4 linked regions of the Astyanax mexicanus genome follow. The protein of the gene in region 2 purifies or fractionates together with the protein of the main gene of each other region. This does not show direct contact. Links are inferred from orthologs where the notes say so. Each region holds a gene or a part of one and is shown on either strand. Other genes may lie near its edges.

Evidence for each region.
Region 1: the proteins of nedd1 (region 2) and tubgcp4 purify together in Homo sapiens (affinity purification with mass spectrometry; 3 studies listed by BioGRID and IntAct, with this or other methods). This does not show direct contact. The link is inferred for Astyanax mexicanus from reciprocal best matches to the Homo sapiens genes NEDD1 and TUBGCP4.
Region 3: the proteins of nedd1 (region 2) and tubgcp6 purify together in Homo sapiens (affinity purification with mass spectrometry; 3 studies listed by BioGRID and IntAct, with this or other methods). This does not show direct contact. The link is inferred for Astyanax mexicanus from reciprocal best matches to the Homo sapiens genes NEDD1 and TUBGCP6.
Region 4: the proteins of nedd1 (region 2) and c15h10orf88 purify together in Homo sapiens (co-immunoprecipitation; 3 studies listed by BioGRID and IntAct, counting the BioPlex papers as one, with this or other methods). This does not show direct contact. The link is inferred for Astyanax mexicanus from reciprocal best matches to the Homo sapiens genes NEDD1 and C10orf88.

The regions. Positions count from the first base shown.
Region 1 is NC_064430.1:32,433,677-32,441,692, forward strand, and holds the start of tubgcp4 (gamma-tubulin complex component 4), read right to left. Parts: upstream 3,004-8,016; 5' UTR 2,892-3,003; coding exon 2,814-2,891; intron 1-2,813. Other genes in the region: CDKN2A-interacting protein, read left to right, coding at 5,670-5,908, 6,572-6,699. UniProt on the Homo sapiens protein: Component of the gamma-tubulin ring complex (gTuRC) which mediates microtubule nucleation.
Region 2 is NC_064417.1:36,561,877-36,568,789, reverse strand, and holds the start of nedd1 (protein NEDD1), read left to right. Parts: upstream 1-3,893; 5' UTR 3,894-4,075; intron 4,076-5,991; 5' UTR 5,992-6,002; coding exon 6,003-6,138; intron 6,139-6,464; coding exon 6,465-6,559; intron 6,560-6,644; coding exon 6,645-6,761; intron 6,762-6,913. Other genes in the region: sh3gl3b (endophilin-A3b), read left to right, coding at 678-752, 1,963-2,171. UniProt on the Homo sapiens protein: Required for mitosis progression. Promotes the nucleation of microtubules from the spindle.
Region 3 is NC_064409.1:46,359,640-46,366,807, forward strand, and holds the start of tubgcp6 (gamma-tubulin complex component 6), read right to left. Parts: upstream 3,016-7,168; 5' UTR 2,809-3,015; intron 1,022-2,808; 5' UTR 984-1,021; coding exon 195-983; intron 1-194. UniProt on the Homo sapiens protein: Component of the gamma-tubulin ring complex (gTuRC) which mediates microtubule nucleation.
Region 4 is NC_064422.1:21,124,854-21,132,204, forward strand, and holds the start of c15h10orf88 (ATPase PAAT), read right to left. Parts: upstream 3,018-7,351; 5' UTR 2,949-3,017; intron 483-2,948; 5' UTR 476-482; coding exon 306-475; intron 161-305; coding exon 1-160. Other genes in the region: zgc:174164 (disintegrin and metalloproteinase domain-containing protein 9), read left to right, coding at 4,901-4,982. UniProt on the Homo sapiens protein: ATPase that regulates mitochondrial ABC transporters ABCB7, ABCB8/MITOSUR and ABCB10. Regulates mitochondrial ferric concentration and heme biosynthesis and plays a role in the maintenance of mitochondrial homeostasis and cell survival.

The sequences.
Region 1 (8,016 bases), on a different chromosome or scaffold from region 2:
AATCAGTCAGTGGGCCTATATACAGGGCTACAGGTAGTCACTGCGCTGTTTGACGACATGAGCTGTCTCAGGAGATTAGAAGGAAAAGTAAAAACAAGCATGTTAAAGGTAAAGGGTTTAAGACCATCTCCAAGCAGCTAGAAGTTCCAGTGACTACAGTTACTTATATTATTCAGAAATTTAAGATCCATGGGACTGTAGCCAACCTCCCTGGACATGGCGGCAGGAGGATAATTGATGACAACTGATGACAGATAATACGAATGGTAATAAAAGAGTCAAGAAAAAACAGTAAAGAGATTAAAGGTGAACTTTAAGCTCAGGAAACAGTCAGTGTCAGATCGGGAAACAACCAAGGAGACGTCATTGCTGAAAACAAAACATAAAAAAAGCCAGACTGGAATTTGCCACACTACATGTTGACAAGCCAAAAAGCTTCTAGGGGAATGTCATATGGACTGAAAAATGGAAGACAGACAGAATACAGACAGAAAAATGTAGCATATGAAGAAAAGAACACTGTCCCTACTGTGAAACATGGTGGAGGCTGCTTTACTGCATCTGGCACAGGGTGCCTTGAATCTGTGCAGGGTACAATGAAATCTTAAGACTATTAAAGGATTCTAGAGAGAAATGTGTTGCTCAGAAAGCTTGGTCTCAGTCGCAGGTCATGGGCCTTGCAACCAGATATTAGCCCAAAACACAGCTTAAAAACACCAAAGAATGGCTAAGAGGAAAACATTCGACTATTCTGAAGTGGCTTTCTATTAACCCTGACCTAAACTGAGCATCTTTGAAAGAAGCTGAAACAGGCTGTCTAGAAAAAACACCCTTCAAACCTGAGAAAACTGAAGCAGTTTGTTCATGAAATACCTGCTGAGAGGTGCAGAAGTCTTAGGAATCAATTGATTGCAGTGATTGCCTTAAATGGTTGTGCAAGCAAATATTAAGTTAAAGGTATTATAATTTCTGTCCAGCCTGTTTTATGAGCTTATTTGTTTTTAAATAAATCTGTTGAAGCATGGTTGCAAACAATGTCTGACCTTCGTTTGTTCATTTTCATAACATTTTAATTATTATTACTTCTATCAGATTCAAATTTTCTGTGACCATTGTGTGTTTTTCTTTTATTAACTGAGGGTACCAACAATTTTGTCCATGTCTGTACATATGGAGAGCAAACAGCCATGCTTCTTTATCTTAGGAGCTACAATTTAAACTTTGTAAGAAAACACTTCGTTTTCTATCACAGGCGATGATAGTGACTCACGGCACACCATCTTAATGAAGCAGAGGAGTGTACTCAGTGTCAGACTCCTGCTCAACAGACAGACTGGGTCAGTCACCCACAGGTATGGATGATCAGGGGCGGATTTGGAAGTTCTGGGGCCACAAGCAATGTTTTTTTTCCGGGGGCCCTGATCAAATGGATTCTTTTGTATAGCAAAATGCAATATTGACTCTGACGACCTAGCTGTCTCTGGTGCCTCATCCTCACCAGACGATTCTTTTCTTGCTGCTGTGAAAAAAATTGGTGAGCTTTGTTAAGCTTTCTGTGCTGGACTTCCTTTGCTTAATTTTCTTTCTTTTTTTGGGCACCAATGGGATAAGACCAATTTATGGTTGTGCCGAAGCTACCTTAGTCTACCTCGCCTAGCTAAACTTGCATGTACAAAAAATATATATATATTTTTTTCGTTTTTGCTTTGCGTGTTGGTAAAATCCACCCGTGTTAAGTATATGCACCTATGGGTACATGCACATGATTAATATACATTTTGTTACATGTATATTAGCACACCTAGTAACTTTATTCCAAATACAGTGTCATCTGCAACTTCCACTTTTGCTGTATGGATTATTTATTGGCTGATTGATTTACTGCACTGTTCTACCAAAGTTTTATATATCTATACTTCCTGTGTGTTTATGACTGTACAATGTGTTGTTTAAGCTACTGGATGCCCTAATTTCCTTTGGGATCAATTTAATGATCTATCTTTCTACACATATATTACTAAAATGACTAATACTGTAGTGTTTTGAGAAACACCGCCAAACATAAATCCAAAAGATGTAGTAATGTGAATGTAAGTGAATGAATAGTACCAACACACTACTGAACTTAATGCAGGATTTAACACAGTACTGAAACTTAGTACTGGAACTATTATGCACTCGTTTTACTTTCTGAGCCTTTAGCTTTATACCTCTATAGTTGCATTACTGTTATATGGGTTCTGTTTACAACAGTACGATAATTCCCTCTTTAATCCCCCATCACTGTTGCACTATTGTCTCTTGTCTCACGTATGTCTATATATGTGACCTTGTTATATTGTGCATTTAGTATCTCTCATTCTTTTATGATTCATATTTGTATATGAATATATTTGCTTTACTTGTTGTAACTTTGGGAAGGAGAGTATGTACCTGTACATATGCAGTATTGACAATAAAACTACTTGACTTGACTTTAAGTGCAGTGTATAGAAGAAGTCAGTGTGGCCTGGTCTGTGCACTATAAACAGCAGACAACAGTGCAACAATTACTGTTATTACCAATATTTCATAGTTTTTAGTGATTATATCTGAATAACTAGTTGAATATGATCAATAATTATATTCAGTATGATGAATGAATGAGATGATCGATCTCTTCTACACTAAGGGTTTCCACACAGCTGTGAATTAGGACACAAATATCACACTGGACTAAATTAATATTTATCTACAGCAGCTTACTATAGAGTAATATTTAATAACACAGAGTACTGGTTAACGGGTAAGTTATCTCATGCACATCTCGTTACCTGTAATCCATTCCTCTTATTCCATGTAAAAACAGTGCCGGGATATCCACTTAAAGCGAGCAGAAGCTCGTGGATCATGGTTACAGGTGATTATTAATATTTACAGTAATAACCGGTTACTCCACTGCATCCATTAACTTAAACCAGCGCGAGCTAAAGCAGCTAACACCAACACCGCCAAAACAGCCTCCCGGCGCCGGGAAATGTAGTCCTTCTGCCCAACGCAGCTAGGGAAATGTAGTCATTTAGCTCATCATAACTAGGGAATTGTAGTATTTTAGCTCAACGTAGCTAGGAGTTCGTCCCTTTTTGCTTTTGCAAAAACACATATTTAATAATAACCCGTTTTTAATGTTAGATCAAAGCAGGTTATGCTGCGTTTGAGCAGTGCTGCAAATAGGAAAGAACTATTAGTAAAAAAAATGAAATTGCACTGGAACAACGAGTTGTATTTACAAGTGGGAAGCTCGAAATTAGATTTTTTTTAATTCTTATTTTATTCTTATTATTCTTATATGTTGTGCAGAAATAATTAATTTTACGACAGTACAACACTTACATAGAAATAAAAACTCGAAAGGCTTCCTCATTTTCTTTACAGATTTTTTTTTTTTGGCAGAAATGCAATCTATATTTAAAAGAATACATTTTTGCAAAATATCTTAGGATCTATTCTATTTTGTATGTTTTTTTTATTTAAAATGGTCAAATATGCATTAAATATGAGGTCAAAGTTATAATTAGAATTCATAAAAGATAAACATTTAAAACATTAAAAACAAAGTTTTTTATAAATACGGGAAATGTAGTCCTTTGGCTCAAGCGAAACATGGGAAATGTAGTCCTGTAGCTCCAGGTTTCCTTAATATTGTTTTGGCTGGTACTTAATCCTCACCTGTTATGTGGACTCGACGAAAAGAGGCTCTCTAAAGGTTCTGGTTTTACCTTCTGCTTTTCCGGACTCGGATAACCTACTGCTGCTGGTTTTACTCTCAGCTCAGCGCTGTATATAATATAGTAATCACAGGCGCCTCTAATCACACACACTGGCGAACAGATAGCCTAGCCTGCCGCTGCTAACGCGCTGTACTGAGAATAAAGGGGACCAGCAGCTGCTGATGTGGTATTATGGGCTGTAATTAATATATGTGTATAGTTTACTGTATTTATCTGTCTGGGCGCTTATTTAGCTTCGCTGTGTTTTTACAGTTTTTACAGCTGGACAGATGGAGGCAGATGGTTAAAGATGGTTAAAGCGGTTTAAACTGTAGGGAACTCAGTTAGCTAACTAAAATAAACTAATCTATCTGTCTGTAATCTGGACCTGAATAACTGTGTGTGGGGGGGGGGGGGGAGTGGGGGGGAGACAGTCATATAGGTAACGTTATTAATCACAGCTGGTTTAATGGGAGCAACAGGAAGCTGAGCTTCATGTTTACAGATTACTTTACCCGGCTGTTCTGTCAGCAGTGCTGAGTGAATTACACGGACAGTTTTACCTGGATATTACAGATAATGTACAGATACACTGCAGAAACAGATTCCAGTATCTTTGTTTATTATAGCTTTAATGTCTTCGCATTTTTAAAACATGACTTTTCTTTTAAATAAGTTAAAAATGGATCTACAGTAAATCCAGTTCTTGCTGAACTTTCTTTTACCCCTTGTGTTAACATGACTGAGTCAATATATCAGCTTTGTTTAAACTGTGTTTTTATCAGTATTCACATCCCAATGTATGAATATTTGCCTGTTAACTATTCTTTACAAGAGACGAGATGGATTATCTTATATTATTTTATTAATGACATAATTTGTCTCTAAAACTGTCAATAGTATTGTTTATCTCAATAATTATCTCAAACAATTGATCATCCAAAATATATCAGATTAGAGGTGTGCTGTATTGCATTGAACAAAATAATATCGCCAACATTTTTGAATATCGTGAACTATATAAGACCCTGAAATATGGTGCCATATCACCCACCCATAAATATCACATCAGGGTACTAGTTTATTACTATTTTTAAGACAGAAAATATCACACTGTTCTCATTTTCAATTGTATATATACTAGACAAAGATTACATCTGTCCAGTATCATTTATTTTACTTTAATCCTGGATATATGGAGATATATGGAGTGTATTATTAGTATCATCACATTCTGGATCATTGATTTCTGTTACAAACCTGATAAAATTTGTGTATTATTTAATATCTCAGTTAGGGGTGTTCTATGTAATATCATATGCAATAATAAAATGTTATTTTCTTTTTGTTGCAGTAATGTATTTTTGAATTTTTATTTTAATATCAATGTTTTGTCATATCGGCAAAAGTATCGTTATAGCAAAAATACCAACAGGTCAAAACACAGTTTAGAACTAATTGATGGAATGATTGGTGTTTTCCTTTATGCTTCATTCGTTTTTTTTATGTTATGATTAGTGGTGTTACACGATTAAAAAAAATATTCTGTTTAAGCATGATGAATTTCGCCTTTTCTTTTTTTAAAGACTATTTTTTAAATAGTTAATTAAATGTAAACAAAAGAAGCATTTATAGATTTGCAAAATAAAATTATACTTATGTAAGTGGTGTTATTAAAAACAAAATCTGTATTGATCAAAACAGTAATTAATTATAAGAATTAATTGCTGGTAGCTCTATATTCCACATGTAACAACCTGGAAAGAGGAAATGGGCTTTTGAGAAAGAGAGAAGGACTGGCTGTGTTTGTGTGTATATAGTTGTGGGTGTGAGAGAAAGAGTAGATAAAAAAAATAATAATAATAAGTTGACAGTCATTTTGTGCTTTAACTAAAGTATTCTTTACCCACTTTTTTAGGGATGGCAGAAGGGAATGGAGATGTTTCTGAGTTCCTTAGTCAAAACCCGCACCTGGCACAATGGGTGGAGTCTTTAAAAGAGCACAATGAGACCAGTAAGCAGTGGCTCGCCAGGCGTGAATTTGTCCTTCGCAACTTGGAGACGTTTCCAAACCTCCAGCCGGGCACCATGAGCCCTAGCCTCGATAAACTCCTCTCTCTGTCCAAGGTTTGGGCCAACTCTGTGTTCCTAGGCTGTCGGTAAGCATTCTGTCCTTGTATGCAATCTTTATAGAAACACAAAGGGAGGGGGTTAATGAACTCACTCATACAGTTTACACTCAACTTGGTCTCCATAAGGGACAAAACACAACAGATTACATATTTACTCACTAAATACCAGAACATTTTGTATGTAAATGTCTTCTAGACAATTTGAGGTAATTTATAATCCCTCATTCAGCTGTTTCTATCATTTTGAAATGATGAAGAAAGGTAGGATTAGCAGCTGTACCTACAAGAAGCAGAAATAGATAACATGGCACAGATAGCAGATCACAGGGATCACGATTCAATACATCACAATATATTGCCGCACTCTAAACAAAGTGACATTGTGATTAAATGATTAGATTAAATCAAATATAAGGAAAAAATCATATAGAATGAAAACATTGTTATTATAAAATAAAACATGAATAAGAATAGTTAATTTTTCATTCAATCAGATCCGGTTTAAATTAACTACTGTGTGACACCAAACTTTACACCTAAACCACTTATTAATATTCAAGTCTGTGTTTTTGAAAGTAATCGCAAACAATATAGTGTGAAATGGTATTGATATTTTCTTACACCCTTATTATCTGCTAAAGTGCATTAGCTACACAGTGCTGTTGTTTTAAACATGTGCTTTTGTTGTAGATACCCCCAGCCTGTGGTGAACAAGGTGAATGAGATGGCAGAGGGGATCACTGTGAACGAAGCTGATGTTTGTGTTCACAAGACGAGAGGTGAAATCGTAGGGAAGGGGAAAAGACCTTTAACTTCAGGTGAGACAGACAGTGTGGCCTGTATACAGTCATGGGACCGCACTGTGCAAACTAATCGTAAAAAGGGGACGGCTTAAGGATGCCTACACCTTTATACCGTATTTTTTGGACCATAAGGCGCATTGGATCATAAGGCACACTAAGCGACCCTAGTAGGGATGCCTACATCAAAGTGAGCAAGGGTGCATGTTTCCCTTCTAATGGGGAAGCTGGGGAAGCGCAGTTAACAAAACCGCCTTAAAAAAAAAAATAAGAAAAATGTTACCCTGAATACCTTATATTTGGGTGAGTAAAGTGCTTTTGTTCATTTGCAGTAAGCTTAGATTTCCAATATTTTGTGTAAGGATGAGTTTTCAGTGAAGATTCTCCAGCACTAAGGCTGAGTGCAGCAGCATTAGCATTGGCAGCTAACCGCAGCGCTAGAACCCTGAGTGTTCCGGTAACCCATGATGCTATTAGCTTGCGGTTCATCTCACATAGCTTGTTTTAACACGGCAAACACACAGAATACAGTCCAATATACTCACCTCTGAACGGTAAAAGAGCTAGTGCTGAGGTTAGCGGTTAATGCTAATGCTTATAGTGCTGCACTTCAGTGGAGTGGCTTTACTGCTCCTTAATACCTGACTGGTAAAATTTATACATAAAGCACACTGCCAATTTTTGGGAAAATGAAAGGATTTTAATTTAAATAAATACAGTATGTTTTTTGTTGTTTGTGTGTGTGTGTGTGTGTGGGGGGGGGGGTGTTAATCATGGTGAGCAATGGCCAAAAATACTGTTATCGTGATATCATATTATTTCCTTTTTGCTACATAATCAATATGTGGTGTCAAACATGAATATTTTTATTGAAACTAAACACCCACTTCATTAATCCACATGGTGGCGCTTAAGTCCACTGAATAAGGTAAACCTTCAGTGAAGAATATTGGTTGTTAAGCTCTGTGAATCTGACACTAATAAATCCATAATTCCTGATATTTGCTTATTTAGGAGTATTTTATCCTCTTCAATAATACACTTTGTCCCACCTGAGTCTGTAGGCACACCAGTAGTGTGTGTGTGTGTGTGTGTGTGTGTGTGTGTGTGTGTGTGTGTGTGAGAGAGAGAGAGAGAGAGAGAGAGAGAGAGAGATTGTGTCCTGTATTGCTGCCCTCAGGGATTAAAGCTGAGTTTTGGTTATTATACTGGCTGGCTTTGTGTTACTGGTATTGCTGTGTATTATAAATGTGATGCGCTTCAGTGTGTTATTATCATACATGGATATTTGCATGAATTGGATCATTTGAATGCGATGATTTATCAAAACATCCA
Region 2 (6,913 bases):
GGTAAGTTAGCGATTTACATCTTGAAGACTTTTAATAGGTGCCTTACTGATAAAACTGAAACCAAAGTGCCTGCTGCAACCAAGTCTTGCTGCAGGTCTTTTGCAGACACAGAAGGGGGTTTGACCACCTGCTTGTGGTAGCTAGTGGTAGTTTCCTTTTCTGACACATACTCTTTTAACTAAGCCATATTTTAACATGCAATTTAATGTAACAGTCAACAATCTCCAAGCTAGTCCAGATATACACCTAATGCAGTTAATGAAGCCCCTGATCTATTTATTAAAATGTTAGAGATTGCATAATATTAAATTATAGGACTCTGAAAGACACTTTCTTGTGACATGTTTCCAAGAATAGAGCAGTACCAGGGGGATATCTGAGCTAACTAAGCATTTTCTCCTGCTGAGAATAGGTTGGGGTTGTGGGAGAAAGAGGTGAATCTTAACATTTTGTATTATTTTATGTTTGCTTGGCCCCACCCCCGGGTGAATTGGATCAGACATCAGGAGATGTTCAGGATCATGTGAAAACGAGAATTTTGTCTCTTTAATAATTTCATGAATTGTGCTTATTATTACCAAAGCTATTGACAGAAAGGTAAAAGTTTGGCTTTCAGGTTGACTTTTAATTGACTTTATTACTTCTTGCTAATATGCATTTTATCCTTTACCACTAGATGTCACTCCAGTGGTTCACACACTCAACCAGACGCCCGTTAAACCCCAAATCTCAGAACATCCAGCCTATAAAAGTGAGTAAGGCCAGATTCACACTACACGATTTTAGGGGCAGTTTTTAGTCGCCAACAGTTTTCCCGACAAAATTGCCGACAAAAACTTTGCTCGGGGGGAAATCGGGGATCACTCTGCGCTCACACTGTCACGTAGTGTGATCTACTAAAAGACAATCAGTGTCGGATGACTGATCGCTGATGAGTTGCAGAAACCCGGCAAATATTCAATGACTGACCTATTCGTGTTTAATATCTGACTCAGTCGGCGACTAGACGTCAGGAGCAGCATCTACATACAGCCAATGAGATCACAGAAAAAGGACCACGAGTCCAAAACACACCAGAGCTGTTTATGGAGTGTCTGACCACCCTACCATTCCCCCTGTTATATCAGTAAATGACTCTAGAGGGTGAGTGAGTGACTCCTCTATAAATTGGGTGAATGGAGCTAAAAGCTAAAAACTTTAAATTAAAAATAATTATGAATTACTTGTTCTGAATAATTCTTTAATTTTAGAAAGTATAATAATACATTTTACTAAAAAAAAAGAGAGCATGCCTGTATATTTCAGTTTATCTAAATAAATCATATTTTACATTTTTAAAGACTAACATTACTGTTACTGTAAGTTGATTGGTTGGCGAGCTGATCCTGGAGATACAGATAAACATGTTTAAAAGGCTTATAACTGGAGTTCAAAACTATAAAAAAATAATCTGCAGAACTGAAACATTTGACATAATTCTGTGTTGAGGACATAAGTACATATTTCAATATATAACTGATTAGTTGCTTCATATGAACCCGTTCATGTTGGACTCATTGCGAATGCGCATTTTCCTCTATAGAGATTCTCTGGCATGGCATTGCTAGTTCTCGTGTGCGTTTAGTTCAGGTATGTTCTCGTGTCGAAACGTGTTTCTGGAGAGCAGCCAGGTGAGTCTGCGATTTCCCACGATGAGAAATTGTGTAATTTGTGACCCTGTGTCGCTGATCAATCATTTAGTCTGAAAGTCTCAACAACTGAAAGACTCACGATTATAACACAAGGGCATCACTAGTGATAGGGTAAGTCCTAATGAGTGGGTTGAGTAATTGGCTGTGCAAATTGGGGAGAAAATTATAAATAAAAAAATCAGATTAGATTTGTATATTAATCCCACTTTTAATCTTCAACACTGAAAGAAACTGTCGTTTTAACATAACATGGATATTTTCTTTTTGCAGATGGCAATGATTTCCACCTGGACCAGCCTTGCTGTCGTGCAATTTACAACTTTAAACCAGAAAATCAAGGAGAGTTGGGCTTCAAGGAGGGAGATTTCATTATTCTCACCAACCAGATTGATGAGAACTGGTATGAAGGCCTGCTCAGTGGAGAGTCAGGCTTTTTTCCCATCAGCTACGTCAAAGTACTTGTACCTCTGCCCCAATGACAGAAGCTCATTAAGGTGCATTAAGGCATATTATGAACTCTTGAAGTCCCTGATGTTTGAAAAAATGTGATCAGCACTTTTTATGCAAAGAATAAGCTTCTTTTACCACTATGCAATGTATCCAGCCTTGATCTTCTCTGATGTGTATGTTGAACACTGGAGAAACTATAGGACATTTGTTTTATAAGCAGCATCAAAAGCAAACTGGTGGTTTAAATAATGGTATACAGTAGCCATATATAGGATTCAAAGCCTGTATCATTTTGTATCATATACAAATTTTCATGTTCAATTTAAAATATATGCAAATAAACAGCGCACAAATGTGCTGTGTTTTATCATATAAAAATATGAAAATGTGATACTGCTGTTTTTTATTATATAGCCATGCTGGTAATTATTGTGCCTGATTACGGAGTCAGGGTTCACTATGTGATTTAGGAATAAGAATAAAATATCTAAACACAAAACATTTTAACGTTTTTTTCCCCTCAATTTGAATAAATTATGTGCAAATGTTTGTGCACCCTTCTTTGTCTTGATACAAATACACTAGTTATGCACAACCAACCACATGAGGCACCACAGCCACAGCTGGCAACACCTCTGCAACCACCTGATACACCACAGCAACCAACTAATATACCATATCAACTGCCTGGTAAACATGTTACATAACATTAGCCACCCCTACCAAGACTATCAACCATCTAGAAATCACTTAGCAACTATCTGTGATACCATGTCAACCACCTAGCAAACACAGTTTCACACTAGTGATTACAAAGCAACAGCCAAACAACTGCATAGAGGTGTGAATCACTTATCTGATCAATAATATATGATCAACTACTCTGTATTTCCTGTGCAATGCACTTTTCTGGTTTTATATTTCTAGTGGATTTCTTCAAGTTTATATAGTGCCCCATTGTTTCAATACACAGGTAATCATGTCAAAATCTACAGTACCAGACAAAAGTTTTGACAGACTTCTTTTCATTCATTGTTACATTGTAAATGTAATATTGAAGACATTAAAGTGTTAAACAAACCAGTATGTTTTATACTTCCAAATAGCCACATTTTGCTTTGATGTATTTTTGTTTACTACTTTCCATACGTGTCCTATATATGTCCCCTGTGGTCATGTCTTTAATATTAATCTACAATGTAGGAAATACATTAAATAAAGAATTAAAGTGTAACACTATTATTATTATTATTATTATTATTATTATTATTAATAATAATAATAATAATAATAATAATAATAATTATAATAATTATTTAATTTAATAATAATAATATTAATAATTAGTAGTAGTAGTATTTGGATAGCACTTTTTATACAGAAAAGCAGCTCTGAATGATTTGCATGATGTTTTATAAGAAAAGAAAATTAAGCATTTAAGATATCATTGTCATTAAAATATATTAACATAATTTGGGAAAACTGTAAAATAAAGCATTAAAGCAAGTTAAAACAAGAAAAAAAACTAAAAAATACAAACGGTTAGGCTATAAATTAATATAAATTATAAAAAAGTAATACATGGAAAAGCAATGGCAGTAAATATTTTATATATTTTATTTTTTATTAGTATAGAACTATCTGGTTGTATCCAAAATGAAATGACTTGCTGTAAAACGGGCAATGCTGCAGAATGAATGAAGAGTCTAAAGAGTCGACTCTTCATCCGACTCCGAGTCGGAGTGCCCATCCCTAGCTTTGACCCTGCTGGCGTGCCGTAGTGGCGGTTCCCTCGTCAGTCTGCAGACTTTCAAACACTTTGAGATATTCGGAAAAAGTGGGAATTATTATAATACTGAGCGCCGGAGGAGAAACTGCTGATTAAACAGGGATAACTGGACTCGGGGAAAAGTGCTTTATCTATAAATTCACGGTAAGAACTGAACAGAAGCTTTATACACAGAAACTCCTCAGAGATGACAACTTAACGTTACTTCTGCAGGCTAGCAAAACAGTGTCGGACTGGGTATAACCTCAGCTAGCCCTACAGTTCTGTAGAAAGTCTGAATCAGGGGGATTTTGGTTTGGCTATTTATGTAACGTTCTATGATACAATACAGATCTTTCTTGAGGTGTATGTCTCGGTTGTAACGTATCCGTATCTAAATAACTAGTTAGCTAACCTAGCTAAGCTAAGTTAGCTCACCAAATTAGTTAGCGTTAGATTAGCTAGACATCTGATTGTTATTGAAACAGTGGTGTAGAAATGTTTGGGACCCTGAGGAACTTGTAATAAACTCTTTATTCTAACCATAATAAACACACACAAGCACAAATACTGCAAAATTAAGAAGGTTGGGAGTTAAATTATTAATTATTTATAAGCACAGTTGAATTATAAAAAATACAGAAACCTCAACCGCTTTATCTAAAACCTTCTCCAGCCTGTCAACATGGAATTAATTTGATCCCCAAAACTGATGAAATCTCAACAGGTCCCAAAAGCACATTTAAACTTTGTGCAAAATCGGTGACATGTCTAACCCTTAACACTAATTTCAAGTACAGCAACTAAAATTAAAATAAACATTAGCCTTAAGGTTTATGATTTCACATGGGAAAAAAATACAGCTCTGGAAAAAATGAAGACACTTTAGTTTCTGAATCATTTTGTCTGATTTTGCTATTTATAGATATATGTTTGAGTAAAATAAACAATGTTTGTTTTATTCTACAAACTACAGACAACATTTCTCCCATTTTTTTAATAAAAATATTGTCATTTAGAGCATTTATTTGCAGAAAATGAGGGTGAAATAACAAAAAAGATGCAAATATTCCTCAAATATTGCAAAGAAAACAAGTTCCTATTCATAAAGTTTTTAGAGTTCAGAAATCAATATTTGGTGGAATATTTTTTAATCACAGTTTTCATGCATCACCAGTCTTTATGCCACTCCTAGTGCAAAAATATAAGCAGTTCAGCTTGGTTTGATGGCTTGTGATCATCCATCTTCCTCTTGATTATATTCCAGAAGTTTTCAATTTGGAAATGTCAAAGAAACTCATCCTTTTTAAGCAGTCTCTCATTTTTTTCCAGCATTGTATATGTAGTACCAGTCAAACCTTTGGTTTGATGTTGTTTTTTTCCCTACATTTAAAATTAACACTAAAGTCATCTAGACTATAAAGAAACTCATAAGGAATCATACAGTAAACTTAAAAATGTTAACCAGACCAAAATTCTCTGTGAAGCATTTATGTGGGCTCTTACAGCATTGAGTATATTTTCAAAGTTCAAAGATTTTTTGGGAGCTTGACTGACCTATATTTATCATATCATATTACTTTTTACTTTGTTGAGTACTTCTCAACAAAATAGTTTTCTATTTTTACTGATCAAATTGTTTCTTTTAATATTTTCTTTGTTACTTTACAAATGTTTAGATTGTACAGTGTGCTTATATTATGTCACTTTCAGGCATATATCTTATATCTCTGATTGATTATTATTCAGGAGACTGCAAAAAGTTTCAATCTTTTAATAGAATCACTTTAAAAAAAAAATTTGATTCTTTTTTTCGTCATGAAATTTTGACATCAGCTGCTAGATTCACTTTTTGTTTTTAATGTGGATCACAAAAACAAAGGGTAGATTCATCAAATGAAGTAAGGCAGTCTATTTGAGTTTGGCTTACTCAGCAACAAGGCCTGTGTGAGCTGTCTTATGTTACAAATTATTCCAAACCATTCAGGGGAAACATTTAATTCACTATAGGTCATTTGAGCTCAGAGCTCTGTGTTTGGAATGCGTCTAACAGCTGTTGCTTTTTTTTCCTTCTCCTTTAGAGAGGTTTGCTATGGAGGAGCTGACCCGGTTGGTGTCATCAGGTGACTGCCTGAAGATATGGGACTCAGCCTCTATGACTGTAGTGGAGCAGTTCAATCCCCACAGTGCCACCCACCCTCTGGCCCAAGTATGCTGGAGCAGCAGCAGTATCCTTCACAGCTGTCTTTATGTTTTCTCTGAAATCAAGGGTTTTATTAAGAGGTCTGTTTCTCTTTTGATCAGGTAACAATCTGTACGTATTTAAAAAAAGCATTAGTTTCATGATTAATTCTGGATCATGAACAACACTGCAGTTTATCTCATATGAAATTAGAGGTGCTTTACTTGATATTTAAAAGATTGACCCAGTATATTAACTCAGTTGTTAATCATTGTCAGTTTATTTTTCTGAGACTCAGGGACATGCCTGATTTAAAAAAATGATTCTGTAGAATAATTACACTAATTTGTGTTGTACCTTGACACCAGTCAGATCAGTACATTGTCAGTGCCAGCAGTATAGGAGACAAGCTGGTGGTGACTAGCCTGAAGTCTTCACCAGTCCCTGTAATGGAGCTTGCTGAAGGGGTCAGTAGACACACTGCAAAAGGTAATAAGCACTTAAAGTATGTCTTAGTACTCATATGTGTTGTATTTGGGATTTTGCTTTCAGAAAAAGCAGACACGGGTTGCTCTAAATTCCACATCACAGTTTCTGGTCAGTGGTGGCCTAGACAATACCGTTAACATCTGGGACTTAAAGACAAAGAGATTGCACCGTAGCCTCAAGGTAACTCACTTTGTATGTTTTGTTTTTATATATATAATGACAGTTGCATGTGGGCTTCTTACTTTAAGACTAAAAAACAGTTACCAAATGCGGGAAAAAAAAACAAACAAACAAACAAACAAAAAAAAAAAAACAAACGTCTTTCTTTGATG
Region 3 (7,168 bases), on a different chromosome or scaffold from region 2:
CAAAATGAAAACAGATAAATCCATCACTGGTCTGTTAAAAGGTAATAAGCCAAATAAAGAAAAAAATAGTCTGTCACAATGTGGCAATTAATTTTATAAGCTCTGTATGAATTTAAAAGCTAATTCTTTGTTTTTAGTTTTACCTGCTCTCTTGTATTTCTTTCTCTCTCTATATTAAGCTTCTGTTTACATACCCGAATAGTGAGGCCAGTGACCTCTGCGTTGCTGGGCACCGGTGGCAGGTCCAGCCGGATGTCTAGATCTGCTGTTCTGAAGTGCTGCAGGGCTCCAAACAAGGACAGCCTGGTGTCCCTCTCAAATCTCTCCTCCACCTCCACTCTCCTGCCCAGGCCTGGAAGACCGGTTCCAGGTAGAGCATCCATTAGGCTTAGGGTCCTACACATACCCCCAAATGCCCCCCACTCCTCCTCACACACCAGAGCCCACGCCCTGCTCTCCAGTTTCTGCATCTCCTGACTGAGATAACCCCCCAGCGGTGGTCTGCGGAGCACCGGCCGGTCCCGCCGCATGTAGTCTCTGCTGAAGGATAGTGCTGGAGGAGGAACTGAACCGGCTAACTGCACCAGGAACTCCAGGACTGAGTCCACCTCGGACAGGCCAGACGAGAGGGCCACTTCACGGAGCTGCGCCAGGAGGCCCTCAAGCCTCTCCGCTTCCTCAGTGTGGCCAGAGACACGCAGGTCGAAAGAGATCATCAGCATCTTGTTGTAGGCGGGAGTGCTGGCCAAAGCGTTTGCTGTCAGGCTGGATTTGGAAGAGCCATCCTGGAAGAGTTTGGACAGCAGTGCCCCGTAGGCTCTTTTACGGAGGGTGCGGCGGAACGCCTCCCTCGAGACGCTGCCCATAGAGTGGCGCTTCCATGATACTCCAGACAGGCTGCAATCACACAGTGCCCCTAGGAGCTCTGTAATGCTGCTGCTGGAACAAGTGGACATTTCAGTAGAACTCTGGCAGCAGTACATGGTGAGGTACTGGCACTAAGATCAGTGGATCATCTGCCCTGCAAGAGAAAACACAAGCACAGATACATTATGATTACAAGCCTCAATTTAAAAAAAAAAATCTTTGCATATTTTACTGGCTAGTTCTACTTTGCCTATGTCAAAATAAGTACATACATTTTGGTTAGCAGGAATGACAACTGCTAAAAGTGTTTTGTTTAATGTTGGCTTATTCTTTATGCACTTCCTTTTGAATACAGTTTGTTTAAAATTGTCTTCAGCTAGAGTTCATAGATTAATTGTTAAATATATTATTATAAGTATTGAGATAGTGTATTGCAATACAGTAGCAATTTTCAAAAACAGTATTGATTCTTAGGGTGTTTTGACACCTTAAAGTCTGGAACGGTTCATCAAGGTTTTGGTTTCACACTGCAGTTTGGCGAGCAGACTAAAAAACTACATCCTGTTGTTATCAGCTATGTGAACATGAGTCTCTCTACGCTTAATATTATTTGGTTTGTAGAACATTATGTAAATTATGAGTTTGACAAGCAAATTGAGTGTAAAAGACTATATTATCCTCAGATTTCTTTTATTCCTGATTATAAATAAGGGATAATCTACTGTTACAGTAAATAAATTAATTGCCAGTCTAAGCATTCTTGTCTATAATGCTGCATGATGTACCTGCACACCAGGCAGGGTCGGATTTTGGCACACACACGATTCTTTTTTCGTTTGTTTTGTTTAAAGATGGCCTCAACTACCTGCAATTGGTCAGAAAGTCAGAACTATCTAGAAACATGTTTTCACACTGGAGGTGAACCGGACCATGGTTCAGAAGATCTGGACGGAGAACACCTCTGGTTGTTTGTTCCAGACTGTGGCTTGCTGCCTTTTTCACACCTGCTACTTTGGTCCAAAGTGAATGCTTGAAAGTCCAGACCAAAAAAGAAAAGTGTGAAAGAACCCTGCATTATTAGTTTACAGGTAAATATTGTACCATGTTCTTTTCAATACACCCCCTGATAAGAATATGGTTGAACAGAACTGAAGACTTATGCAGATGAGTCATGATCGATAAGGACTGGTATTGAAGTATTGGACTATATGCTTATATATAGATATGTGTGTGGTGGTTGGGTGGGTGTGATAATATAATACTGACAAATACTGTCATTTTGTATATGAAAACAATAAATATTTTATTACTAAACATGCAAACAATGGCACTGTTATATATTTTTTAAATCATGTCTTTCCCAGAGCTTTATTCTACATTCATAACTTTACTTTATTCACATGTTGTATGAGCATCACTTGATAAGGTTATAACTATTAAAGCATGGATAATGGCATAATAATATTGGCAATATTTTAAATAAATATACATTAATTCAAGATAATGCTACAAATATTTTGTTTACAGAGCCAAAATAGATGAAACACAGCCACAGACAGTGTAGTTTATATAACATACATACTCTGCCTCTATTAGTGAATATAAAGAATACATCAGGAATGAGGGAGGTTATTAAACATTTGCTTATAGCTAGTTAACTATATTTCTCCAAGATTTAACAAGATGAACAACCGTTAACTAGCTAGCCAACCTAACCTAGTGATGTTAGCGGGTCACTTGGCCTCTCAGAAGAGCTGGTTTATAGAGTGTTATAATTCAGCTGTATGTGTGAGTGAGTGTGTTATGGTGTTATTATTGTTATATAGTTCTCCGGCTCTGTCTGAGTGAAGCAGGTTCTGTTCAGATTGTTAAACGCGGAGGTTTATCTACTCTGAGCTCCAGCAGTAGGAGGACATTGGCGGCTCTGCTCTCGGTTCTCACCCGGGCTCTCCGCGCTTCCTCTGGGCAGCAGCTGCAGGTCTGTCGCTCCAGTCCGGCTCACAGCGGCTCCATGAGCCCCGACCGCGGAGCTGCAGCGGCGGCAGGTCTCAGTACAGCCCGCCGCTACAGCAGAAAAGCTCCAGAACCGCGTCTCTACTCTCATTCACACTGTAAACACCACTACTGCTGTTATTTCCTGTCATTTCCACTCAGCGACCGCGCGACTTTTCAAAGCCCCTCCCTCCCTGGGGCATGATTGGGTGAAATTCTCTGTGTTGAGCTGCGATTGGATAAGACAGTTAAGCTGGTAGTGAACACTTCCGGTTTAAAAGCGCGCCAACTTGCGGATGATTCAGGAATTACCAGTAACTCTCTGCACTGCTAAACCAGCACTGCTAATAACTCTGAAAATACTGTTACTGCAGGTTAGTCAGTAGCATCCAAAAGTCAGAGCATTAATGCCAAAGACTAAACGTTCCTAAACATAGATATTTTAATCAATGTTATCATTATTTATTTCTTCTATTTACAGTGTGGCTTGTTTGTGAAACCTTTAGCAAATTCTGTATTTCTTACCGATAAATTCAAAACTTCCATAGATTTCCTACGAAGTCCTAAAAGTAGAACAAATTAGTATACATGCTCATTTAATTTTTGAGGAAAATGATCCAGTGTTACATATATTTATGTAATATATATTTTTATGTAACAAACAAAAGTTAAATCATTTTCCTCCTTTTCAGCTGGGTTGATGTAGAATTTAGATTATCTATCTGCCCGAGCCCGAGCCGAACCTAATTATATTAAAGTAGAGGAAAGTCATTGTAAATTATGTTATTGTTCTTGGTCTATTTCGGTGTAATGATTGTGCAGTGCGTAGCCTTATTGCTTTTTTGAATTTCGCACTTTGGGCCCGTTCACACGAAGCTGGATATTGGTTTCTCTCTCTGTTTTGGCCTTCCGTCCACACAAAAACGGCGACTTCAGTCACTGAAAACGGAGCACTTAAAGACGCCTTTCAAGGCGGAGCCTTGTGGACAGGGAAAACTGAGCTTTCTGAAAACTCTGATGTCACACAGCGCATGTTGCCTTTTGTTTAGCATTAGCTTAGAGATTGGGAGGGGACTATTTTCTGTGCAACAACAGCGAACTCCGGCCGTATTTTTACAGCATATTTTCTCATATTTTTCTCTGACCCAACAGCGCGGAATTACCCAGTAAATTACCAAAAAGTAAATTTGTTTAGAAAGTATTTAAAATTCTTAAACCATGTTAAAATATATTAGATTAAAGGGAAATCATTCAGACATCATCCTTGTAGCCCAATTTACCAATGTTTAGGCCTGTGGATCATTTTTCAGTTTTAATCTTTCGAAGATCGGTTCTTAACAAACATTTTTCTTAAATAATAGGTCTATGATTCTTCAGTGTTGAAATTAAATAATTAAATAACATTATGAACAGATTTCGCTTATTAAAACAGCCTTATGTGCTTGGGCACATAATAACAGTTTATGGGGTGGGTCAGGTTGTGCTCGGGCAGAATGGGCTCGGGCCAGGTAGGGCTGGATTTTTTTGGACCTGATCTAAGCTCTAGTTTGATCGCTATTGTGAAACTATATGTGCAGCAATAACTACTAACTAAATATTTGTGTTTCCTTTGAAGAGTTTTTCGTCCATTTCCTTAACCAATTAATTGCTTACTTTAGGTCATCTTTTTATTGGATTAAGGTCAGGATGTTGACCATTCCAAAACATGAGCTGTATTCTTCTGTTTTCATTCTTTGTATGAACGATTTGTGTGCTTTGCAGACATCCCAAGTTGCAAAAAAATTATTTCTGAGAGGTACCACACTAAAAACTGAATGACCTGTTCTCTGCAAGAGAACATCAGAGAGCCGTTATTGATATGCGGTTGACTCCTGCGACTTAAGACCTCTGGCTTTGGGTCATTGTCTTGTTGCAGGACCCGCATTCGCTTAAGATTTAGCTCAGAAACAGATATCCTTTCAAGATGTATTAAATTCATAAGTTACAAACCACCCTAGATTAGATGAACCCACGATTTTTACAGCTTGCAATAAAAAAAAAGGAAATGGCAAAGAAGCTGAAAAGTCTGGGCACTCTACACGATCGTTTAGTTACACTCTGTTTGGCAAGTAACATAGCATTTAGACATTTTTGGAGGCAGCATGATTTTTATTTATTGCTTGGGGGATTTTAGCTATTTTGAGATCTTGTTGCACTGCTCTATCCATAGATTTTTGAAGATATTAAGGTTAGGGTTAAAGTGTTGACAATGTGTTATCCTTGATAACTGGATAAAGCTCCTTATATAAAACCTAAACACATATTGGTTAGCACTGGAGACAACTGAAGCTAGCAAATATCGTAAACTAAAGTTACTGAATAATCAGTTAATTCCTTGACTTTCAAGCATTTCAATATATGTGTTTATAATTCACTCCAAGATTCACTAAAGAAAAACTCAAACTGTTCTATTTTTTTCTTTTTCTCTCCAAATTACAAGTTTTTATTTGGGTATAATGGTTTAGCTAGATTAGCTTCTCTGCCAGCATGACTCACATGCTGTGATAGAGACAGAGAAATACACTGACATGCCAAATGTCATAGAATAACAGCAGTATGCAAACTGATCATGAAATATAACCTCAGTGCACGGCTTGGCAAGAGCCACACCTATATATGCTGTGAGGTGCTATCTTATGTATTAAGTTGAATATTTACCAGTGTGCTCATGGAGTGTGCTCATTATTGGAGGTGGAGCGAGGTCTGATAGTGGGTGCAAAAGGGGTGGGACATTTCATTTATGAAGATGTGAAGACATTTAACGTTCTTTAATCCACAGTGTTGTGTATACCGCTCGCAATACATCATAGAAGGCCAACCACAGTGAACAGTGCATTTAGTAGTAATGAATCACTGGCTAGAACTATCCGTATGAACTGACAAGTAAAATCCACAGTAGAACACACATTTCCTGGGATATAGCAAAAGTCAATGGACAGAATACTAATACCTGATGTGGCATATCAATGTATATGTGAAGAGAAAGAGAGATGGAGGTAAATGGGACTGTTAGAGTGAAGCTAGTTTCTGTAAAATTTGGCTTCAAACACAATCGCACACCGATGAGAGGCACTGGCGTGTTGCTAACACACACCCACAGCATCTGTTTGTGGTCAACCAATGCAATATTAATCATGACAACTGTCAAGTTGCTTTTTCTGGTTTTCTAGTTTAATTAAGGTCTGTGTTGCTCCTTGTGGAGATGTGTGTACATGTGCGTATATATTTGCAGTGTGTGTGTGCTCCTTGTAAGGAATATAAGTAAAAAAAGACCCAGGCTCATTAGTCTGTGTGAAGTATGAGGCTGAAGATTAATGTCATAGCTGTATTGCAAAAAAAAAAAAAAAAAACTTTTTTTGGCAGTTTTATTTTTCACACCATGTCAATATGTCACAATGAATGGACCAACAGAAATGCTCCAAAATGAGCTGGAATATTTTTTTTTAATTGAAGTTCAGTTAGTCTTCTTCCTTCTCCTGTATAGTTGCCATTTTTTTAGCATAACAGCAAAGATTTCTTTAAATGGTCTTGCATTTGTTTTGGTGTAGATTTGTTCCTTTGGTTAAATTGAGCCCTCATGTCCTGCAGAGGGGACCTCTCTTGCTCATGCTTTCTGTAGTGTTTAACCCTTTAATGGACTTGGTGTGTAGTGAAACATGATAATGAATACAAACTTTTGTTTTAAATAGCCCATCTCTGTTCATGCATTCCAAAATACAGCGCTTTTAGCAGATGCTCCCAACAGGTTTCCAATGCTAGAGATAGGGGCATTGTCCATGCAAAGAAATGGCTATTTTTACACCATTTATAAGCTCAAAGTAGCTCCAAAATGTATTTGTATAATTCTGAGGACCCTAACATTTAGAACGAGGCAGTGAGAACTTTGAAAGTGCACAGATTTATTAAAACAGGTTATTAAAAAACACAGTTTATACACACAGTACCTTGAGGTAGTTCCTCCTTCAGACATCACCATCTTGAAATTAAGTCACGATAAGTCGATAAGCCATGGAACTTTATGAATTCCAATTTTTGCTGAAAATATTTCTACATTATTAACCTATATGTTTGGACTCGTCAATGACGTAATTTTAAGATGGGCACTTATTAAAGTTCTCAGTGCCTCGTTTTAAATGTCAGGATCCTCAGAATGTTCCCAAGAAAGCTAAAGCTAAATATTATGCCCCAATCTCTAGTATTGAAAGCCTGTTGGGAGCATCGGCTAAAAGCGCTGTATTTCAGAATGTTGGGGTGAACAAAGTTTGGCTAT
Region 4 (7,351 bases), on a different chromosome or scaffold from region 2:
GGTACCGCAGTAATCTCCAGAGAGAGAGTACACCTCCACGGTGCGCGCCTCACTCACCACCACAATACTGCTGATAACAGCCCCCGAATCAGGCTTACACAGCAGCGTGATGACACACGGTGACCCCTCCTCAGCACGCTCCAAACACACAGGTTCCCACCTACAACAGAAGTTCACAGAGTAACAATCTCCATCAGAAATATTCACTGAAGAGTCATATAGGATATTTATTTACTTATTCATTCATTTACTAGTAGCCCAATTTGAGCTACTTTTTACTCTTGTTTAAAAATATGTAGTCTTACTGTGCAGCAGGGCCGAGCTCATCCTCTACATCCTGCTGATCTCCCCCCTGGTGCTGCTGTTGGGGTTGCTGAGGTTCTGGTACAGTGGTGATGATGTCTGAGATCTGAGAGCTGGAGGAGCAGACCCACGAGGAGATTCCACACACTACAGCTCCTTTACTCACACTCATCCTGCACCTGAACAAACACATAATGCACACAACACACACTTAGTTTACTTATATGAACTTGTATTAATGTTTAAATAAAAGGGTGCACAGATTTAGGATTTTATCACTGATGTTAATATCCTCTTTTTGTATTTTGCAGTTAATGCGTTAAACTGTTAAATATGGTGGTGGTGGCATCATGGTGCTAGCGAGACTGGAAGACTGCAGAATGAGGACGTAATAATGTAGAAGGATGAGGACTATCTCAGATAGATCTTCAGGTAGATTTACAGATACTAATACATTTAAAAAAAAATTTAAAAGCATTAACATGTTTCAAAAGCAACAGTTTTTCTACCCCAGTCTAGAATACAAAATCGAATAAAGAATAAAGCTAAATATAGTAGGGATATAAAGCTACATCTGTAAAGTAAAAGACACAGTTGCATCCATCTGATAAGATGGCTAGAGAACTTAAAGCTATTATATGCTCCTAAACTGATTTTACTGATTTTCTACATTAAGGCAGCAAAATTATTACAATGCCTATATAAAACATAAATAAATAAACATACATATGAAACATATATAAAATAAATACACACACATGTATAAAATAAATATACATACATAAACATAAATAAAATCACAATGAACTTGAAGGGCTAAGGGTAGAAAACAGATGGGGGGGGGCTTACACACAAGCTAAAACATCTAGTTGACCTTTACAACCAACTAGAGCACATAAAAGAGAGAGAAACAAGATATCCAACACAATCAACCGCTAAAACAAACTAACTATAATTTGCAGTGCTGTTAAAGAGTGCAATTACTGACCTGACTTACTGTGTAAAACTGACAGCAAAATACAATACGATAAGTCCACAAAACTAGATAGAAATGTTCTACAATTTGTAGCTGTTAAATGTTAAAACTGTTTTGTCTTTTAAATCCATTTTTTCTCAGAATTAAAGATTTAAATCTATCCTCTCAAACCATTGCTTCATTTTTAAACTGCATTTTTAGTCATTAAAATAGACACATGGTCCAGAAAGCTAGCTAGAAGTGTTCTACAATTTAAGGCTTTTAAAATGTTACAGTTTTTTCAGAATTGTAAATAAGAATTAAGCTTATCCTATTAAACCATCACTCATTTTTAAATGTTGATAACAGCGGTCATATGATTTTTTAATGTTTTCTGAAAAAGTAAAAAAAAATTAGTTAAGCAATTATTTTAGGAAGGTGTCAAAATGAAAAAAAAGGAAAACAAAAGAAACAGAAAAAATATATTCATTTTAAATGAAACTGTAAAATTTTAAAACAATATCTATTTCATATTTATTGTTTTAATACTTTTCCAAGATGGCGGCTACTTTCAATGATTCAGTGTTTTCCCTAATTGGTGAGTAATGATATTTTTACTATAATATAAAGGTTAATAGATTGTAAATATTGCATAGATTTCTGTCAGTAAAATAGATGCGTCCAAAAAGCTAGCTGCAAATGCTCTACAATTTGTGGCTGTTAAATGTTAAGCTAATTGTTTTCGGTCTTTTCAATTAATATTCACAGAATGTTGCATTAAGACTGTTTTTGGTTGGTTCTACTTTTCAACTGTGTGATAAACTATTCTCTTAAACCATTGCTCATTTTTAAAGTCATAAGAACTGTCATATGTTTTTTTTTTTTGTGTTTCCTAAAAAAAACTTGGAACAAATGAGTTTAAGGAAGATTGTTATAGGAAGGTGTGGATATGAAAAAACACAAAATAAAAAAAAAACGAACACATTCATTTTAAATAAATTAATAAATACAAATCTTTAATTATCAGGTATAAAATCACTTTGTATACTACTGCTTTAAATGTGGATGATGTAGATCTACAGCTCATGCAGGGGATTGCAGGTGCGAAGCGGGAGATGATTTGGAGATCAGCGAAACCCACACAGCGGCGACACACACCGAGTAAAGTTACTGATCCAGCTAACCCAACACAGCTACAAAACAACTGAACAACAAACCAGCACAGCCTACATACTGTCATCCTGAAGCTCAGCAAACACCAGCCTTATGTAGGTTAGTTATTTCAGTTTTAAGTGATTAAAAATCAGATCAATACTTTAAATCGAGTGAATTCAGCAGTGCTTGAGTTAACCTGGTGTTACTGAGCTTAAATAAGAATCAAGCTAAGTGAACAGAACACAGAACAGCAGAACTGCGTGAAAACGATGACTTTACTATTATAATTAATACATATTGTCATATATTATTATATTAACACCAGTAATGATACTGAAGCTCCAGTGCTGAGCCTCTATGTGATGTTAACGTTAACTCTTAAGACTGAAGCTCTGATCTCTCCAGCGCCCTGCAGCAGGACACACTGAACTCCTGTAACTCTGTAACTGTGAGAGGAGTCTTTATACTTCTGCTCTACAGGCTTTAACTAGTAAATTAAAATAAATATAGACTAATGAAATCTCACTCTACTCACCGAGGTGCTGCTGCCTCTCACTCATCACACTGCGACTGACTCACCTACAGCCACAGGACCCGAGAGCCGGAGGACGCACCCAAGCGCCTGATTAAAATTCCCATAATAATAATAATAATAATAATAATAATAATAATAATAATAATAATAATAATAATAATAATAATAATAATAATAATAGACTTCCTGAAAAAAGATCGATTGTCAGTGCTATAGAATAATATACCTTACATAGTTTTTTCTAAAAAAAAAAAAAGAAAAAAAAAGAAAGAAACAGTTGTTGTTTTCTGGAATATGTACATTTCAATATTTTGTGATTATGAGGACTAAATAAACTGACTTTAGAAGAAAAAACACATTTACTTTATGTCAAATTACAGCTCTTTTAATGTAAAAGCCTAAAAAGAGCTGATGTATTAAGAACCTATCCACTTCTTTTTCCCCACTATATTTTACTGAACGCCTGCCAACCGCTAGAGGAAGCCCGCGAGTAAGACCAAAATGAATGGGGATGAATGGAGCTAAACAGCTAAAACTCATAAAAATAGTACTTAATCGCTTGTCCAGGATATTCCATTTAATTATGGAAAATAAAATTAAGTATTTCACAAAAAAACAACAACAAAGAAAACCGAACTGATTTTTTTTGTTTTTCTCCAGTAAAGGGCAGTAAAGACGCTAGGGTTACTGCTACTGTGAGCTAATTGGCTGGTTGGTAAGCTGATTTTGGAATTACAGTCAGAGCAATGGCATTAACCTGGAGTTAAAAAGCTTTAAAAATATGTATGTGGTGCTAAAACATTCGTTATTGTACTGTCTTGAGAAAATGAGCACATTGTTTAGTATGAAAGTTATTAAACATATATAAAACTTGATTTTGTTCATTTGCTCCATATGAACCGGCTTATTTTGGACTCAAACCTGGAAAGGATACTTAAGTGGGTATTCTCAACCTAAAACCAAAATTTGTTTTATGGAGAGCCTTTTTCCATATGATCATACAGGCAAACAAACAGAGACAAAGAAATGATCCAAAATGTAGACATACAGCTCTGTGAAAAAATAAGAGACCATTTAAAAATTGAATGCATTTCTTTAATTTTAAGAAATTTAAAACCTCTGCAATATAATCAAGAGGAAGACGGATGATCACAAGCCATCAAACCAAACAGAACTGCTTGAATGTTTGCACCAGGAGTGGCATAAAGTTATCCAAAAGTAGTGTGTAAGACTGGTGGAGGAGAACATGCCAAGATGCATGAAAACTGTGATTAAAAACCAGGGTTATTCGACCAAAAATTGATTTCTAAACTCAAACATTAAAACATTATGAATATGACCTTGTTTTGTTTGCATTATTTGAGGTCTGAAAGCTCTGCATATTGTTTGTTATTTCAACCATTTCTCATTTTCTGCAAATAAATGCTGTTAATGACAATATTTTATCGTTGGAATTTGGTGTTTGGACTTTGCCAAGCTACTTGAATTGCTGGGTCCCTAAGCAAGAACCCCAACCTTCCCTCATTTCCTCCTTTTTTCCAGAGCACTGCCAAGAAGGACATGCATGGATGGCTTAAAGGCAGAAGTCAAATTCCATCCAAGTTCTACACAAATGGAGATTGTCTTTGTCTTTAAAGATAGCAGATAGTGTGACAGTGAAAGTTTTTTTTATCCAGCAGTGCTCAGTAGAAGGTTTGTTAAGCTTGCAGCCCGTCCTGCCTGACCGGTCTGGATAATGGCATAAGTGTTGTGTGGTATTCTGAGCTGACAGCATCCCAACAACACCCATCCCACCTGTCCAGTTCCAGCCCTCCCACTTTACCTGAGCTCCCTTGTACAGCGCTCCACACCTGAGCTCACCTGCAGGACTGATACACACGGTATCAAATACACACCTACGGCTCACGTTTGTCTGGATAAACAGCTTTGGAAGCCTGTGTCATGCTCACATAATGGAGAGAGAGAGGAGCAGGAGAGCCGGGCTGTTCTTTCTGTCCCTCACAGTTGGATTATTTTACACAGCAGAGAGTAAAGGTAAGTAAGGCCTGACAGATAGTCTGGGCTCTGGCTGAGGGTCCAATTTGAGTCTGGAGGTGGAATTAAGACTAGAAGAATTTTTTTAAAGAATAGAAAAATAGAGGCTTAAGTAAAACCTAAGAACAGATCAGGTTGTGGAGGGTTCAAAACCAGAGAGCAATGAAACCGTTTCAAATGGCTGTTCAAGGCTCATATTACAGTATTTTCAGTGTTGGGATGTTGTTGTTCTTAGTGATAGTGCACAACCAAATGAGCAAATGAGCAAAAGCTAAAAATAGCTGACTGGTTTGCTCAGTTTTGTGAATCCTATTCGACTCCTGTATCCTATTTTTTGTCCTTGTTTCCTCCATTCGTGATGTTTGTATGAATTGATGGGTCAAAAACAGACAGCATGTTTTTATCTGACCATGTTTCATCCTCTCCTTACATTGAAATGTTTTATTTTAGTCACTGTCAGTTTAAGACATGATTATATATACACAGTAGATATAAAACCATACATGACCTTATTCTGTTTTGCCCTTTGCCCTCTGTTGATTTTATTTCAAGATCATGGCACTCTTCCAAACGTATATGATTGAATGGGATGAGTAGGTTTGGTTTGGCTGAACTGTAGAAGACTGTATAATATGCGAAAGTGCAAAGAAAATATTTTATTGACTTTACATAAATAGAAATTATGAGAAAGACTGGTTTTGGAGCTTAGTTTTTTCATTCTTGGACTGTATAGACTGAACATTGATCAGGTGGATTTGAAAATATATCTTAAAATTATAATCTCAATTTCAAAAAACGTTGTGACAAATGTAAAATACAGGCATGTATAAAGTTGTAGAGACTCAGACTTAAGTACAAGCTCTATCAAAAAACTAAAGTGGCTAAAGTGGAAGTTGAAGTGTTCTTTAAGCACCAGACTTTAGTGGAATTACTTAAGTGTTCAACATTCTTTGTACTTAATATGGCAAGTAGTTTATTGTAAAATTTAGTACTGACTAACTGAAAGTAAAAGTACAGTACTGTGTCCTGTTGTTATTACAGAAAACAGTGGAAAGTTCTCAGAGTGAAAGGCAATATGGCAGGGAGGTATTTTTATAAGATTAGCTTGATCTCTTGATTCCCGCAATGATAAGGAGCTTTATCAAACCCAGTGACTGTACAGAGCATCTACCGCTCTGATACCGCAGTGCTCATGTGGCTTTGGAATGATTCCTAACATTTTTATTATTGTTACGAGTAAAGATGTAGCACATTAAAAATATAATGTGTAAAGAAAATTATAAGTAATTGCACCGAGCATGTGGAAGAATCATTTTCATTCCTTTCAGAGTGGTGCATTCAGTCAGAAACTTTTCTACTTTGTTTGGTTTACTATGAGTGAATGAGCTGCTGAGCTCTGAGGTTCCTCTTCTAAAGTGTCCATTGCTCCACCAGCAGCTCGCATTCAGTAAAACTGAGCCGGATCCTCTTTTAGAGGCTGTACATCTTTACGTTTATCTTTATCTTTACATAAGTACGTAAGGATGTGTGACATGACCAGGAAAACTCCCACGTAACTTCCAGTACACTGGTACCATTAAAAACAATATTTGATCCCTTCTCCACTCAGAAATGCCTCTGCTTTCAGTTTAGAAACAAAAAGTAAGGACTGCCACTTTAAGTCATCTCATAATATCTATTGAAGTAAAAGTAGAAGTAGGAGAAAAAAATTGTTCACCAGTAGATATAGATACAGCATCTTAGTACTTAATTACAGTAGTGAAGTAGTTCGCACTTCATTACTATACATCTCTTGTAAAACATATTGTGAACGTAAATAAGAACAGAATAAAATAATTAGCAAAACTCATTAACCCATATTTTATTCTCAGTAGAACATAGAAACACCGTAGTATCAATATAAGCTGTGCACGTCCAGACAATAGAATAAAGTTTGTATCTCTTGTGTAGTAAGTATAAAAACACATACAGTACAGGCCAAAAGTTTGGACACACCTTCTCTTTTTCAATACGTTTTCTTTATTTTCATGACTATTTACATTGTAGACTCTCACTGAAGGCGTCAAAACTATGAATGAACACATGTGGAGTTTTATGTACTTAACAAAAAATGGTGAAATAACTGAAAACATGGTGGTCACCTGAAATGGTTTTCCAACAGTCTTGAAAAGTTCACAGAGGTGTTTAGCACTTGTTGGACCCTTTGCCTTCACTCTGCGGTCCAGCTCCCCAATCAAGGTTGGGTTCAGTTCCGGTGACTGTGGAGGCCAGGTCATTTTTTGTTAAGTATAAAACTCTACATGTGTTCATTCATAGTTTGATGTCTTTAGTGAAAATCTACAATGTAAATAGTCATGAAAATAAAGAAA